Linked DNA regions of Struthio camelus. The protein of the gene in region 1 purifies or fractionates together with the protein of each later gene. This does not show direct contact. Links are inferred from orthologs where the notes say so. Each region holds a gene or a part of one and is shown on either strand. Other genes may lie near its edges.

The links. The genes of interacting proteins can lie anywhere in the genome.
Region 2: the proteins of PTPN2 (region 1) and KPNA6 purify together in Homo sapiens (affinity purification with mass spectrometry; 3 studies listed by BioGRID and IntAct, with this or other methods). This does not show direct contact. The link is inferred for Struthio camelus from reciprocal best matches to the Homo sapiens genes PTPN2 and KPNA6.

Annotation. Positions count from the first base shown.
Region 1 is NC_090943.1:113,532,567-113,539,853, forward strand, and holds the start of PTPN2 (tyrosine-protein phosphatase non-receptor type 2), read left to right. Parts: upstream 1-4,270; 5' UTR 4,271-4,498; coding exon 4,499-4,567; intron 4,568-7,287. UniProt on the Homo sapiens protein: Non-receptor type tyrosine-specific phosphatase that dephosphorylates receptor protein tyrosine kinases including INSR, EGFR, CSF1R, PDGFR.
Region 2 is NC_090964.1:8,518,939-8,526,562, forward strand, and holds the start of KPNA6 (importin subunit alpha-7), read left to right. Parts: upstream 1-4,613; 5' UTR 4,614-4,847; coding exon 4,848-4,851; intron 4,852-7,624. Other genes in the region: TSSK3 (testis-specific serine/threonine-protein kinase 3), read right to left, coding at 1,681-2,342, 2,782-2,926. UniProt on the Homo sapiens protein: Functions in nuclear protein import as an adapter protein for nuclear receptor KPNB1. Binds specifically and directly to substrates containing either a simple or bipartite NLS motif.

The DNA.
Region 1 (7,287 bases):
ACTTTAAAGAGGCTTTAATTAATGGCACCAGAGATCAGGTGAAATTTTTTGAATTAATGACCTTTTAACCAGGAATGTGAAATGAGAGCATCAACCCATTCTGGACACTCTCTGAATTAGACTCTCTCACTTGCAAACTATCATTTGAATAAACATCACCATAGCTAGGGTAGAAAGCAAAGACGGAAAAAAAAATGAGTAACATACACAAACCATCCCCGACACGCAAGATTCTCTCTTTTCCTTCGCTTTTACAACACGGCCATTTTTAAACACACTTTGGACACTGCCACTGTTGTGGATCTGTGGCTAATAGACTTGTTTAGCCGAATGCTAAGCTGTTAGGGCTGTTTGCGCTTCTGCCACTGTTGCTGCTACAAGTATTTTTATTTTGCTACATACATTTTAAAGTTTTTATTTTGTTTTATGCCAAAATACTACTGAGGAGGAAGGAATCAATAGTATAACTGAAGAAAGGTATTTGCATTGGCAAACACTTTCAGTGATGGCAGCTTTCAAGTTCCTCTGAACAAGGAATACGGTCCCCAGCTGTCCAGAATAGTAAGGCTCCACTGTACAGGCACAGGGTGAATGAACACTGTTTCATCCTGACCATCAGATCCTTTTATTCAGCTTCCCCTGCTCCCTATCAGATGCCAAAAGTGTGCACAGCCCTTCTGGGTTTCCATTCCTATCCAGCTCTTGGGGGGAAGGGAGGATCCACTTGTCCTTTAGGCCTTGAGCCATAAGACTTAAATCAGGAATGATATGTTCCCATGCTCTCACACCCTGGCAAGCTTCAGCACACTGCAGCTTTATTCCTTACAGGCTAATATCGATATGGAGTGTATCTGTGGATAAAATCACCTCAGGGAAGAACTTGTTCTTCATCTACCAATATCTTAAATGATTCTCAGAAAAGCAGCACAACACGGATCATTTCCAGTAAGTGATACTTAGGTAATTTCCAGTGAATGACCCAAAAATGAAAATGTGGAGGAACAAGCACTTAGTCCACTCCAGAGTGGTACTAAAGTTAATTGTGAGGACAAGCTCACTGGGCAAATAGCATTTAAAGTTACCTGACTTGGTCTTTTTCATTTAGATGAGCAAGCACCGAGAGCCTTTACATTTGCTGTGCAGACAATACTGTACAGTGTACATAACTCTCTCCAGGGCACCAAAAGCAATTCTGAGATCAGAACTGCTGTGGATACCAACTCCCTTAGGATGACTCTCTGTTTGCCGGATGACTATCTGTTTGCCAGAACAGCAAGGGGCTTCTCAAATTAGGGCAGGCATTTTAACAGAAAAACACTGCAATAAGTACTTGCTTGGATTTATAACTAAGGCAGAAGACAATAACAATATACCACACATTCCAGCAACTCCATTATCCCGCTGTGTGTATGTCTCGTTCTGTCTCAAGAGTTTAAGAGTTTATATAGTAGTTCATCTGGGGTTGACTGCACAACTAGTACAGAACGGGAAGATACTATTGGCAGCAGAATAAATAAAATTTTCTAATGAGTGTACTGGGTTTATGTTGTAGATACAATTCTCCTCCACAGACCTTTATAACTGTAGTCCTGGGCTTACCCCTGACTTCGTTCCCAGAAAAGAGAGAACTGCTACAATCTTTTCAGAATATTTGCACTAAAAATAATCATCAAAGATCAAAAGATGGCAATTTTTGCAGAAACCCCTGATTTACCAGTTAATGCTCTTCTAATCCACATGTAAATCACAATTAATAAACAGTTACGTTACTTTTCCATGAGCTGTCTCCAGGCCCTGGTTTGCATTACAGATTCTAAACATAACTGCTACCATAGAACCCCCTCTCCTAATAACGTAAGTAAGTTGCTTTCACAGTATTAACCACATCCCCAAATATCATAAGCAAAGACGAGCACAAGCTTCTAATATATGGACGGTTATCAGAAGAGCAGAAATCATGTGCTTTTGTGTTAATACACACTCCTCCTCTCCTCCTGCATCCTTCTCAAAGCTCACCGATGCCTCAATGAGCCGCCCAGCTGGGATGCACACAGAGGGCTCCTTAGCTGACAGAGCTGTCCTTGGACCCAAGCGTGACGTCTACTCACGCTCCACGGGCAGCGACCTCCAAGCCTTCCTGGCCTTGGAAAGTAACATGTGCTTGGGCAACATCACTCTTCATTCTCTCAACCGATGGGACCGTGGTGGGAGCTTCCTCTGGCTGGGACCTGCATCAGACAGCTTTGTGGGCATCTTGGGGTCTAGGAGCTACTGCTGAGGGTAAAAAAGGACACGGTGCTTCAGTAAGTTAGGCCATTTGCCTACAAATACGGACTGGTCAGCAAGTTCACACCCAGAGAAAAGTCTACTCAAGGTTAAAATCGGTGAGGAAGCTGTGTTCCATTTGTTTAAGGTTTGTTAACTGGCAGACAGTTTCTGTTCTTCTGTTTACTTTCCTACACGCAGCCTGTGCAAGATCACACCTCCTAGAGATAAGAACACTTTTTGCTCATTGAAATGTGGATTTAAATTAATCTACATTTTGGTTTAATCAAAAAGAATCTTCACGTTGAGGATGGGCACTTAAATTCTTCTCTGCTTTCCTAAATCACCAACTTAAACCACACACGTTGTCTTGTTTATATTTCAGAAGGAGTCACATGTGGCACGTTCATTAATTAGAGCACACCTGCAAAACTACAGATAACCTGTTCCTCAGTCTTGCAGGCAGAAAGATGCAGAAAAGCTAATCCCTACAAATCTTCCAAAGTTTGGACTCACAATTCAAGGAAAAATTGCTGAGGATTTCAGTCAGGTGCCTGCAAAAACACGCTACGAACTTACTGATGTATAATGTCCCATCAGCTATGCTTCAGAGATATATCCGATGCAGCCCTCCAAAGAGTGTAAAAAATAATGACTTTCATTATATAACGTGAGAGAGCACTTCAGCCACTGGATTTGGAGCACTTTACTGCATTGCAGCCCCCGGACAGGAGGGAAATGCAACAGCTGATGGCAGATATTTGGACGTGCAAAACAGAAATCTGCTTCAAAAAAAACGTAGCTGCGTAAGCACACACGCACCTCTCACGTAACGCCGACTGACCCTTTCCAGCGAAAAACGACGTTGCGGAGGTGGGGGCGCGAGCTCAGCTCAGCCTGCTCCAGCCAGGGGCTTTCGGCCTCGCGCAGGGCGATGCCAGCATCAAGCGCTCGCAGGTGGTGAGAGCGGCGAGGGGATGGAGGCGGCCCGGAGCTGGCGGCGGAGAGAGGGGCAGGCCGAAGCGAACAGCGGGCAGAGGGGCAGCAAGGCCACCGGCAGCTTCACTGTGACACGAGGTGGTGGTGGGGGGGACTGGGACTCAGGTTTCTTCCCCTTTCTCATTAACATCAAACATTTTGCAATCCCCCTATGTTAATTGGCGATGTGGGCTGAGGTACGAAGGGCAGCCCGCCTGCCTCAAGAGCTAAAAGCAACTTCTCTATTATGTTAATTGGTAAAGCAGATTTCCCTGAAGCTTGAGCAACTGAGCCCTTGCTAAACTTTGTATGACCTTTAATTTTGCTGAACGCTTGTGAAGCTCTTTCATAAGGGGCTTTCTTTTTGAAGCAATCACAGAGGATTGGTGTGTTTTGCCTCTTTGTATTTCTGCTTTTAAGATTGCAACAGGGGTATGAGTTACAGTGATTTGATTGTCCGACACACTCGTATTTTTGTACTTCTGCTTTTTAAAATAGGCAACGTGGAAAAGCTGAACCACGTAGAGCTACATGATGTACGTGAGACCGAGAGCACATGCTGAACGCAGTCCATTCAATCGTTACAGCGCGGAATCAGGTCAAGGACTCGCGATTTGTGTTGCGCTGCCGAGTATGGTTCAACAGCGCTCATTCTCTAGCGAAACACGACCGTCTTTTGCTCACACCAGGAGCAACCTACGGTCGGCAGCTACTTCGTGAGTGAAGAAAAGGCTTTCCGGCCACGCGGCCTGCCCTCCTTCCACAGCTGCCTCTTTGGGGCTACAGCCGTTAACAGCGCCCAACGTTTCCCTGCCGCGAGCTCTCGCACGGAGAGGGCAGGGAAGCAGAGGGGCACCGGACCCTCCCCTCCCGCCCGCGGCAGCCGGCGGCGCGGGGCCGCCCCCGCCCCCAGACCGGGCGAGGCCGCGCCGGAACCGTTAGGGCACCGCCCAACAGCTACCACCTGCGCGCCCCCGCCCGCCCCTCCGTGCCCCCGCCCCGTGACGTCACCCCAGGTGCTTTCCCCGCCCTCCGGGAGGGCGTGGCCCGGTAGGCGGAGGCGCGGGGCGCGCATGCGCCTGGCGGCGGCGGCGGCACCACCACCACCAGCAGCGGGTCCCGTTGCGAGCGTATGTGCGCGCGCGGCGAGGCGGAGAGCAGCGCGCTGGCCGCTCCCGTGGGCTGGGCGGCGCGCGAGGGGGTATGAGCCTGTCGGCCGCCAGCGGCCACTCGCGCTCCGGCCGCCACCGCCGCCATGTCCGCCGTCATCGAGCAGGAGTTCCAGGAGATCGATGCCACTAACGACTGGCAGGCGCGTTATTTGGTGAGCGAAGGGCGGCGCCGGCCGGAGGGGAGAAAGGGAGAGGGTGAGGAGATGGGCCGCGAGCCGGCGGCGTCCGTTGCCGGCATGAGCTGCCTCCGCGGGGAGCGGAAGTCGCTGGGCCACGACTCGCTTTCAGGTGCGCGCAGCGAAACTGCGGGCAGGCAGCGCGCATGCTCCGAGGGTGCTTTTTTTTTTTTTTTTTTCCCCCCCTTCCCCCTCCCCTCCTCTCGGGAGGGGGTGCGGACGGGGATAGCGCATGTGCTGTGTGGCAGGGGTTGCCGATGCGCATGCGCACGGCGCGGCGTGCGGGGGGGGGGGGTGCGCTGCTCATGCGCGGCGGCGGCCCGTCCGCGGCGGGGCAGGGAAGGGAAGGGAAGGGGCAGCGGCGGCTGACAAAAAGCGGGGAGTTGACCGAGCTGCGGGTGCTTCCCCCACGCTCTCCAGGCTGGGTGGAAAGCTATATCTGATCATTTCGATCCAAGCCAACGCTTGTCTTCGCCCCTCGGTTCGCCGCTCCTCCGGCTAGTGCCTGCGAAGTGGCTCCTCAGCTGCCGTCTCAGTGCACGTCGCCCCTCCTGTCACGGCTGCCTTAGCATCCCCGGGGCGGGAGCAGGAGCAGGGCGATCGTTGCGCAGGAGCTAAGCTGCTTGCTCTGTCTCCCCAGAAACAGCGCTGATTAACAGTGGCCGCAATGATATGCTTTGAGTCCGTGGTCTAAAATTAGTTCCTAAGTACTGTTATGCTACTGCAGTTATTTGAGCCAATGTGTATTTTACAGTGTTCTCTCACAACTGAGGGAAAACGACCCAAAACGAAGGTTCTCTTCGTTAACTTCCAAGTTGGGCTTTGTCTCTGTTAAATCTTCAGTGTATTTGATTTATATGTATGCATATTTCAAACACGTTATTTCTAGGCTATGGAACGGAACAGTGGTTTGAATTTAACAAGGGATAATAAGGAAAAAACGTGTGAAATTGTTGTGATAAAACTATGGGAAGAATTCTGCAAATAGTATTTTTCGTGAGGTGAAAATGTGCTTGCATATTATGTCTGGATATACCAGACATAATAAGAAAGCTAATTTAGCTTTCTCAAGGCATATTAATATTATTCAATTACCTTTGGGGAAGTAAACGCAAGAGGAAATTGTAATTTAAGCTCTGCAGAACTTTGTTTATGGATTTTCCTAGTTTTACTTACAGCTGTGTTGTACAGTTTCCTTGAATAAAGATTTTTATATTAAAATTTTACCACTTCCTGATTTTATAGGCCTGCAAACTCAGGAATTTTTCAATATACTAGAAATACTTCATACTTCAATATGTAAATGTTTTATATTAAAACCAGAGACTACAGATTTGTTAAAGCGAAAAAAGGAAATGCTATTCTTACGTAGCACAAATTCACAGAAAATAATCTAATCACCCACTACTTGTTTTTACCCTGAATTTTCCTATGGTATGTTTTTTTTCCTATGGCAGTGTTGTATAGGATGCGTACGTATTTGTGATTAGAGGTATAATTTTCTTTGAAGAAAAGTTCTGAAGGAAAAAAAAGGTTGTTAGGTTTTTTTTTTGCTCTTTCTGTTGATACCAGCTCTGTATATTTGCTGTTCATTTCCATGTATTTGACAAGACTTAGGGTAAATTTTTTTTTTAAAAGCTTGGAGTGTTTGTGCTAACTCCTGGAGCTTCTGTCCAGTCTGAATTAAGGACTGAATAAGTAACTCTTTCCCCCATTTATCTTTTCTATGCAAGTTTTTCTTGTGTAACATGCCTTCCATTACACCTTGTATTTGATTTGTCTCTCCAATTTGTGAAGACTGCATCATATGAAGGGAAACTGATTTTAGAGGCTAGTCTTCCTTAGGTTCACTTCTCTTGAGCAAAGTCCCTCCTCTCCCCCACCCCCATTGCTGTGGTAGTGTTTTTAACTGGTCCGATGTCTCATGACCAAATTACAACATCCTCTGTGCACGCTAACAGATTTGATGTATTTACAAACAAAATACGTCGCACCCTTTTATGGAACAATATAAAATTTACGTTTTTGAGAGCTCTGTAGTGAATGCTTAACAGATGCACTTGTTGACCATGCGTGTGGTTGCTCCCAAAGCTTGTAAGATGTTTGAACTAGAGAAGAAGACAAGCTGCAATGTACTGTATCAAAATAAAGATTTAATCATGTAATCAAGTGATTTTTTTTTTTATACAAATATTCAAAGAATTGGTGCTTGGTTGCTGCTGCTCCATGTTGTGGGTTAGGGTCTTTACAGACTGTTGCTGCATTTAAAGTAACATCACACAATAAACATTAATAGATGGAGAGTCCTTGTGTATATTAGATTTCTGTTAAAGACCTTTTTGTTTGTGTTCATTGTCTGAGAGTATGCAGAGGGCTATTTCAGAAGTTTGAGAAGACCTTGTTTGTGGTAGTGGGGACATACAGAGAAGACCAAGGAATGCTTAGTTGTAAAGGGAAGTTCAAATACCCTTTAGTACACGGTGATTGCATGTAGTAGCAACATCTGAAAACAGAAGGAGAATTCAAAACAAAACATTTTTAATTCTATATTTTACAACAAATCTTCTGAGATGGCATCAGTATAGAATATAAAGGCACAGTTAGATTCACTGGAAGCTGTTTGTCAATAGCACCGTAGTTGAGTTTTCAGTTGCCTACAGTAGATAAATCGGTACGTCTTAGTGCTACATGAAGGT
Region 2 (7,624 bases), on another chromosome or scaffold:
GTAGGCAAGTGCAGATGGTACTTGCTGGCTGAGACTGGCTGTGTGTTAATTCATCTGATACCCTCCCCCAAACACACAAACCCCCATCTTGGCTGCACCAGGCTTCATGTAGCTGCTAGGGTTACCAGCCTTGCTGTGCTCACTGGGTGTCCTTCACTTAAACCACGTTTCCACTGCTTGCAATGCTTCCTTTCGACCCACAGCCTTTGTCCCTGGTGCGGTGTCCTCCTAATGTTGTAAAATACCCCTCAGTGGATGTTGCTAGTAAGAGTTATCCTAAAGGGACAGAGCCCACGCCCCTGTCTCTGGCCTTTCAAGTATTGATTTTATCCGTGGTACCTATGTCATTCTGCCTCTTTGAGGGCTGCTTAATTGGAGCTATGGGTTTCCTTCTATTTCTGGATAATGTTAACCTAGGGTACTTGGGGAGTTATTTTTCCTTTGGGCAGATTCTTTAACACAGCTGCCTGCACATGTGTGGGGGTGGTGGTGGTGACTTCAGGCCCATGCATGAGAGCTTGTCAGTACTGGAAAAGCCACGAGGTGCAGGGATCGTGCTGTAGCGCAGCTCCTGCTTCGTGGCGTCGAAGGGGCCCAGCAGAGCCCCTGAGCTGTGCTGCCGCCTTGCCCTGTCCTGGGCTCTGACACGGCCCGAGGAGGCTGCTGTGTTCATGCTGTACGGAGGCAGGAGCCAAGTTTAGCTGCAGCAGGAAAACCTGTCATAGGTTGGTGCCCTGATACTGGTGGGGCTGTTTCTGCTGAAGGGCTGCGTGGTGCTGCCGCGGCAGGGGCTGCCGGGCTGTGTTGCTGTGGAGCGTGAAGGTGTGAGTCCTGGCTGCATCCCAGGCCCACAGCGGAGCTGCCGAGAGTGCAGCGCTCTCATCTGTGTCATTTTTTTTTTCTTTAGTCCAATTAACCATTTGGTTGTCTGTGCAATATTCTCTCTTCTGAACTATTCTGCATCTCCCTGAGCCTTTTCTAGCTGGGGTGAAAACCAGAAACAATTCTAACAGCTGGTGGTTTTGTAATGACGACTTTCTCCAAACCTTTTACAGACTTGCAGTTAACAGCAATTAAAGGAATTCTACAGAGTCGCTGCCTGTACTGGGTGTCCTCATTTCGTCTGCCGGCAGGGTGGGGGCTGCCCAGAGGGTCTGTGTCTCTTGGACTGGTTTTGATTTCTTTTCCCTCCCACCTCCGCCGAGGGACATGCGCTTGGTTGGGAGGATGCTGGAAGAGAGGGATAGGGCATGCTGGGCTGTCCTTTGGCTTAGTGCCTTGGCTGCATCTTCTCCGTAGTGGCTAGCCAGGCAGGGGAAGGGCTGGGGTGAAGCTTCCCGCCCTGCTCGTGGCCAGGGACACACGGCCGTGGATCCGCCGGCTGTGTGAGACGTGCCAGTGCTTGAGATGGTCTTGGGAAGGTGGGCAAACGCTGCTCAAAGCTCCTTGGAGCACGTATAAAGCACGCCTTGTTCTCAACTCATGAAGGCCAGGGGCTTTGGGTGAACAGATGAAATGCCTGAGCATGGGCTAGACCCATCATCTTGGCTCTGCCAGCCAAGGCCTGGCCTGGCCTGCCCCCCGCGGGATGGATGGGTGGGAAACACTGACGTGAAAATGTATCAGCGTTTTAGAAGCAATCCGTCCCCTTTATTTGGGGACAGCATTGACGAGCCCTTCTCAGGGGCTAGTCAGCCACGGGTGCCAGCTGACTTCCTCGATGGAAGGCCTCAGGATCATATCTGGCTCCAGGAGGCTTTTCAGGAGGTCCTGGCACTCCTCGGAGACCCCCAGGTGCCTTGGCAGGGAGACCCCTTTCTGCTGCTGGCGCAGCATCTTGGGGATGTCCGTGTCGTCGAAGGGCAGGCTGGCGCACAGCATCACGTAGAGGATGACACCCGTGCTCCAGACGTCACCCTTGCGGCTGTCGTGGGGGACGCCCTGCAGCACCTCGGGCGCCGCGTAGGCCGTGCTGCCGCAGAAGGTCTGGCTCAGCTCCTTGCGGTTCCTGGGCAGCAGCTTGGCAAAGCCGAAGTCCGTCAGCTTCAGGGTGAAGCCCTGCAGCAAGGCGTTCTCGCACTTGAGGTCGCGGTGCGCCACGCCACAGCCGTGGCAGTACCGGATGGCCTCGACCAGCTGGTGGAAGAGGGCCCTGGCGCGGCGCTCGGGCAGGGGCCCTTCGTGCAGCACGCAATCGAAGATGTCCCCGTCCTCCGCCAGCTCCATCACCAGGTAGATCTTCCCTTCGGCAGACTCCAGCATCTCATACACACGGATGATGTTCTTGTGGTCCAAGCGCTGGACGATCTGGAGCTCCCGGGGCAGGAATCTCTGGATAAACTCTGCGGCGAGAGAAAGAGGGGTTTGCTTGCACTGCGGGGATGAGGACGGCCCTTCGTCCCTGAGCTGCTGGCTCCTGTCACCCCTCCAGGGCTTGGCCAAAGGGGTGGGTGGAGAGAGGGAAGGTCCTTTCACGGGGGCCCTATTCCTTATGGCCTTGCACCGAGCATCCCTGCAGGGCTTCTCCCAGAGCGATGCAGGGACCGGGGACGCAGGGAAGCACGGCCTGATGCCCCGGGCTGTGCTTTCTGCCTGCAGCAGGGAAATGCGGGAGCTCTCCCACCCCCCTGGAGCTCGGGGGCAGCTGGAGCCCCCCAAGACGCTGCCTCCTCTCCTGCTCCTCGGAGGAAAGTTTGGGAAACTAGTTTTCTGCCAAGAACGAGAAGCCTCCAAGGAGAGACCGAGCCTCAGCCTGGAGTCCTCTCCGGTGTCATCTCTTACCATCTGGACCTTCCTTCTTATCAATAATTTTAACAGCCACTTTCTTCTGGTGCTTTTTGGAGAAAGCCTCCTTCACTTTGGAGTAGGTTCCCTCCCCAATGGTCTTGCCCAACTGGTAGCCATTGACGAGCAAAATCTCCTCCATCTCCTCTCGCAAACCGGGCCCGTCCGTTCTCTCAGGTCATCGCACAGCAACTCCGCGAGAGCATCCCAGCGCCCGGCGGCCGCCCGCGCCCCCGGCTGGCATCTGCTGCAGCCGCCGCGCCGCTGCGTCCCCGGCCCGGGCAAAGCCCCCGGGAAAGGGGGCACCTAGGGACATTTTAAGATGCGCGTGTCCTATTGTGATGCAGGTGACGCTGCGTGAATCGGGTGATGGAGGGGCGCCCGAACGGGCAGTGGCTCGGGGGCAGCGGTGATGGGCTGCGCTGAAACGACCTCCTGGCAGGCGCCGTGAGCAGGTGGCGGTCGGGGTGCGGGGCTGGGGGGCCCTCCGGGTGCTCCCCATCCTTTTGCTGTCTCTGATCTCCCTGCGTCCTGTCCCTGCTGCTCTGTTCCCCCCCAGGGCAGGATTTGGGGAGGTGGCGGGGGGGTTCGGAGCAGGAGGCGACACGCGGGAAACGCTCCGCTCCTCGGCGGCATCCTCCACCTCCGGCAGTGGCCCCGCAGGGAAAGACCCCGGGCGGCCGAGCGTTGCCCACGCACCCCACGCTGGACCCGGCCCCTGCTCTCGCCTCTCCGTCCAGCTCGAGTTTTTCCAGCCGGGGAAGCGGGGAGCAGGGGGTTTTCCCGGTGGCGCGGGTGCCGGCGGCATTGTGATGCGGGGGCGCGCGGCGGGTCACAGAGCACCTGGCCCCGCTGCCGCCACCGCGCTCAGCTCAGGCAGGGACGCCGCCGAGCCACCGCACGCGCCACGGGGCCCGGCCAGCGCCCCGCAGCGTGGGGCCGGGGGGTCGGCTGCCGCCCCGCGCGCCTGCCCTAACCCCCCCGCTCTCCTCTCCGCTCGCCCAGGTCTAGGGCTCGGACATGAACTCCCAGGAGACCCCGCAAGCTCGGAGGTTTCCCATAGAGGCGGGCGACTCTCCCGGCCTGGCCGTGGCTCCCGAAACGCAGGAGCCGGTAGCCGCTCAGCAGAGCGCGGGAAGGTAAGGGCTGTGCCCCCTCCGTGTCCCCTCCTTGGCGAACACAGCTGTTTTGCTCCCCAAAACATCACCCCAACGGCCCGAGACCCTCCGTCCTGCGGGGGGGCCAGGTTGGCCCCCCGCTTTCCTGCATGCCTGAGGGCTTTCTCGGGACAAGGTGCGCTGTGCCGTGCCGTGCCGTGCAACGCTGTGCCGTGCCCCGCGATGCTGCGCCGTGCTGCTCCACGCAGCCCAAGCAATGGCATGCAGTGCTGTGCCATGCCGTGCCGTGCCGTGTTGTGGCGTGCCATGCTGGGCCATGCCGGGCCATTTTCTGCCACGCCATGCCGTGCCGTGTCATGCTGTGCCACGCTGTGGCATGCCGTGCCGTGCCGCTGGGCTAACCCTGCTCTCTCTCCCTCCGCAGGCAGCTGCGACGATGCCCCGGGAGCCACTGCCTGACCCTGCCCAACATCCCCATTGACGTTTTCATTGCCATGGGTGGGAACCGCCGGCCTCGCACCACCTAACGGCCCCCGCGCCGGCGCGGCACGAACGGCCCCGGAGCGGGAGAGCAGCGCGGGACACGCGGATCGGCGACGCACTTTATAATAAAAGGACTTCTTAGAGCGTTTCGGCGCCTCTCCTCCTGGCCTGCTGCCCGCCACCGGGGTTTTGGGGGTTGGGACGGGACGGGGCGGTGCTGGTGCTGGTGCTGGTGCTGGTGCTGGTGCTGGTGCTGGTGCTGGTGCTGCGCTGCCGCCCCCGGCCGCTGGGGGCGCCCTTGCGGCGCGGGGCGCTCCTTTAAGGGGCGGGGCGCCCGCAGCGCTGGAGGAGGTTTGTCCCTTCGCGGCCGCCGTTCGCCGTCTTCTCCCCTCGCCCTCCCTCTGTCGCTGCCCGCCATATTGTGGCCGCCGCAGCTCGGGAGCCGCAGCCGGAGGAGCCGCGATGGGTGAGGGCGGCCGCGGGGGTTGAGGCGGGGGGAGGCCGGGTCGGGCCGGGGGCAGCACAGCCCGTCCCGTCCCGGCGGCTCGTAGCCGGGCAGCGGGGTGGCAGCTCCCGGGGTGTGTGTGTGGGGGGGGGGACCTGCGCGACCGCCCCGCCGGAGGGGCCGGTGGTTTTTGAGGTGAGTTTTCGGGGTTTTGGGGCGGGAGCCCCCTCTGCCTCGGGGTCGGAGCCGGCGGCGGCGGCCTTTGAAGGGAGCTGCCGCTGCTGAAGCTTCGCCGCGGCGTCTGGGGCCTGCTGGCGCGCCTGTGCTCTCTGAGGGATTTAAATGCTGAAGTCCGTAAGGGAGCGGGACTTGCCGGGCCGAGCTGCTGCTGTGCCGCTCGGCCCGCGGGCGAGCTGGCGGCGCCCCGCTCCTTTCGCCGGGCCTGCCCTTCTGCCTCTTGCGCTAACGCCGCAGCCTGCAGTTTTTCCCTCTCTCCGTGCTGCACAAACCTCACTCGCAAGTTGTAATTCCGGCCTAAGCTGGGTGAGCACCCGCCTTGCACGCGGTTACGTCTGTTCCTTGTCGTGGTAGGAAATCGAGGGTGAACGCTTCGCGTTTAACGCAGCACCAGCAGCCGTGTAAGCGTAAACGCGGAGAGGCTGTCGGATAGCACTGACTCCGTACGGCATGTCACTGTAGACAAAACAGTCTCCCGACGCTGTGCAGGAAACGAGTATAGTGGGTGACTTTGTATATTCATAAGCAGCCTAACTAAATATAGTTAAGCAAGGGTTCAGGGAGATAGCAGATAGCTATCTTTTGTTAGCTACAAATAGTTCATAGCTGAACGTTGTCCTTCAAAAGGCATTTCAATAACAGAAGACTTCTTTTGTTGTCTTTGAGGTAGCGCCAGAGGCTCCCTAGTCAAGGAAGCAGAAATGTCACTTTTTTGAGGCTTAAAGTAGCAAGGCAGGGTTGAATGGATGAGGTGAATGTAAAAGGCAAGCCTACAGCAGGCTTATCCCTTACAAAGTAGAGTAAGATTCCCCTGTGAAGTAAGGACTAGTTTGTTATCAATTTTAAGCAGCAGTATTATCTTTTGACCAGACCTGCTTTCAGAAGTCTTAAATGCCCTTTATAGTGGGATGCAGCTTGATCAAAATGACCTTGTTAGAAACTCTTGTTCCTTCTTCAAACACCTCTTGTGATGTTCCAGAAGAAGTTAGTGGCTGCAAGTCTGCATATGCAGTGGCTACAGAACTATCCAGTCTAGAGTAGCTTTTAAAACTTAATTTATAGCTTGAGATTTAAGATCTTGACTGGCAACTTTGAGTAGAAAAATGTCCTCAGGCCTGTTGGTGAATGTCTGAAAACTGTGTGTTACCCACAGCTGAGGAAGCTTATGCAAAGAAGCTCTCCTGTCCTTTCCCCTCCCATTCCCCAGTTTCATGTTTGAGCTTCAAGCAGACTTTTTTTCTTGACAGCCACAATTTAATACTCTTCCTTCTCTGAGTGATCCTAGTATAACTGTTTTAATTTGTTTTAACAAACCAAGGCTGCTTTATCTGTGTTTTGGGGTAATGCAGCTAAATTGTGGAAGGACAGCATTGCCCCTTTTGCTTTGTATGTTGCAGGTTGAATACAGTTGTGTTTTATAAGTAGCTATAGGATATTGGTCTTGCCAGTGTTACTGGAAATGGTCATCAGGTCTTCTCCTTCATTTGTTATGCAAATTCATGTCTAAATGTTTTTATTGCATATGGAGCATAATGCTCAGTTCTTAAACCAAAACTTATGTGGCTGATGGATGATTAGTTTAACTAGTTATTTGGCTAGTTTGCTTTGTTTGTTTGTGTTTAGCAGAGAGCAAACATGAACTTTGTAAAGGGGAGCTCAATCATTAAAATGGCTAGTGTAATAGTGAAAGTACTAATTCCTTCATCCTTTTGGTTTTCAACTGTTGTGCTAGTGAGACTCAACCTCAAACTTGCTCATCAGAAATCAGTACTGTTTGGTTGCTTCTGTAGCAAAGCACATGTTGGGAAGGATAAGCTTGTTGGGATCTCAGCCCTCTGACTTCCTTCTGCTGTTTCTAGTTGCTTTAAATCCTATAACTCATTCCTGTCTTGAGTTTGATTTGACTTACTCAAAGACTTAGTTTGTTTTTTTTTAGAACTGTGACAAAGGACTGTCTGACCTCAGGTGGGAGATTGTTATACCTGGTAGATCATCAGTATGCTCTTAAGGAAATCTGAATGTCTCCGAACATGGGAATGGGGTTGAGAAGAACTTAAATTCCCCAAACTTCAGATTTGGGGTGAAAAGATCAGGAGGAGGTAGAGCTGAGACTAGGGTGTTTTGAGAGCCAGACCGAGGATTAGGTGGGTCCCTATGTTGGGGGACAGATAGGATAAAAGGAGTCCTAATCTTAGATTGACCCTAATGAAAGACAAGTACCCTGTATGAGTGTTAATTCTCCCAAAGAAAATGGTTTTTGCTCTTTCCCTCCCCCCTCCAAAGCCAGCGCCATCAGCGAAGCGGTTGCACATTCCAGTAATGATATCACATCACTGGCTCTTAGTAGCTAAAACAGAAGGGAATGAGCCAATGGTGTCTGCTGCACTGGACAGCCAAATAACTGCATGGATAAGCGTTTTACTAGCACAGAATGTGCTGTGTGCAAAGCACCCAGCTAGGGATAGTGGCAGGCTGTGTTCAAGACAGCTCTCAAAGATCACTGAATCTGCGTGGTGCTCATTCATAGTAAATGCTCAGGAAGAACCTGCACAAGAAC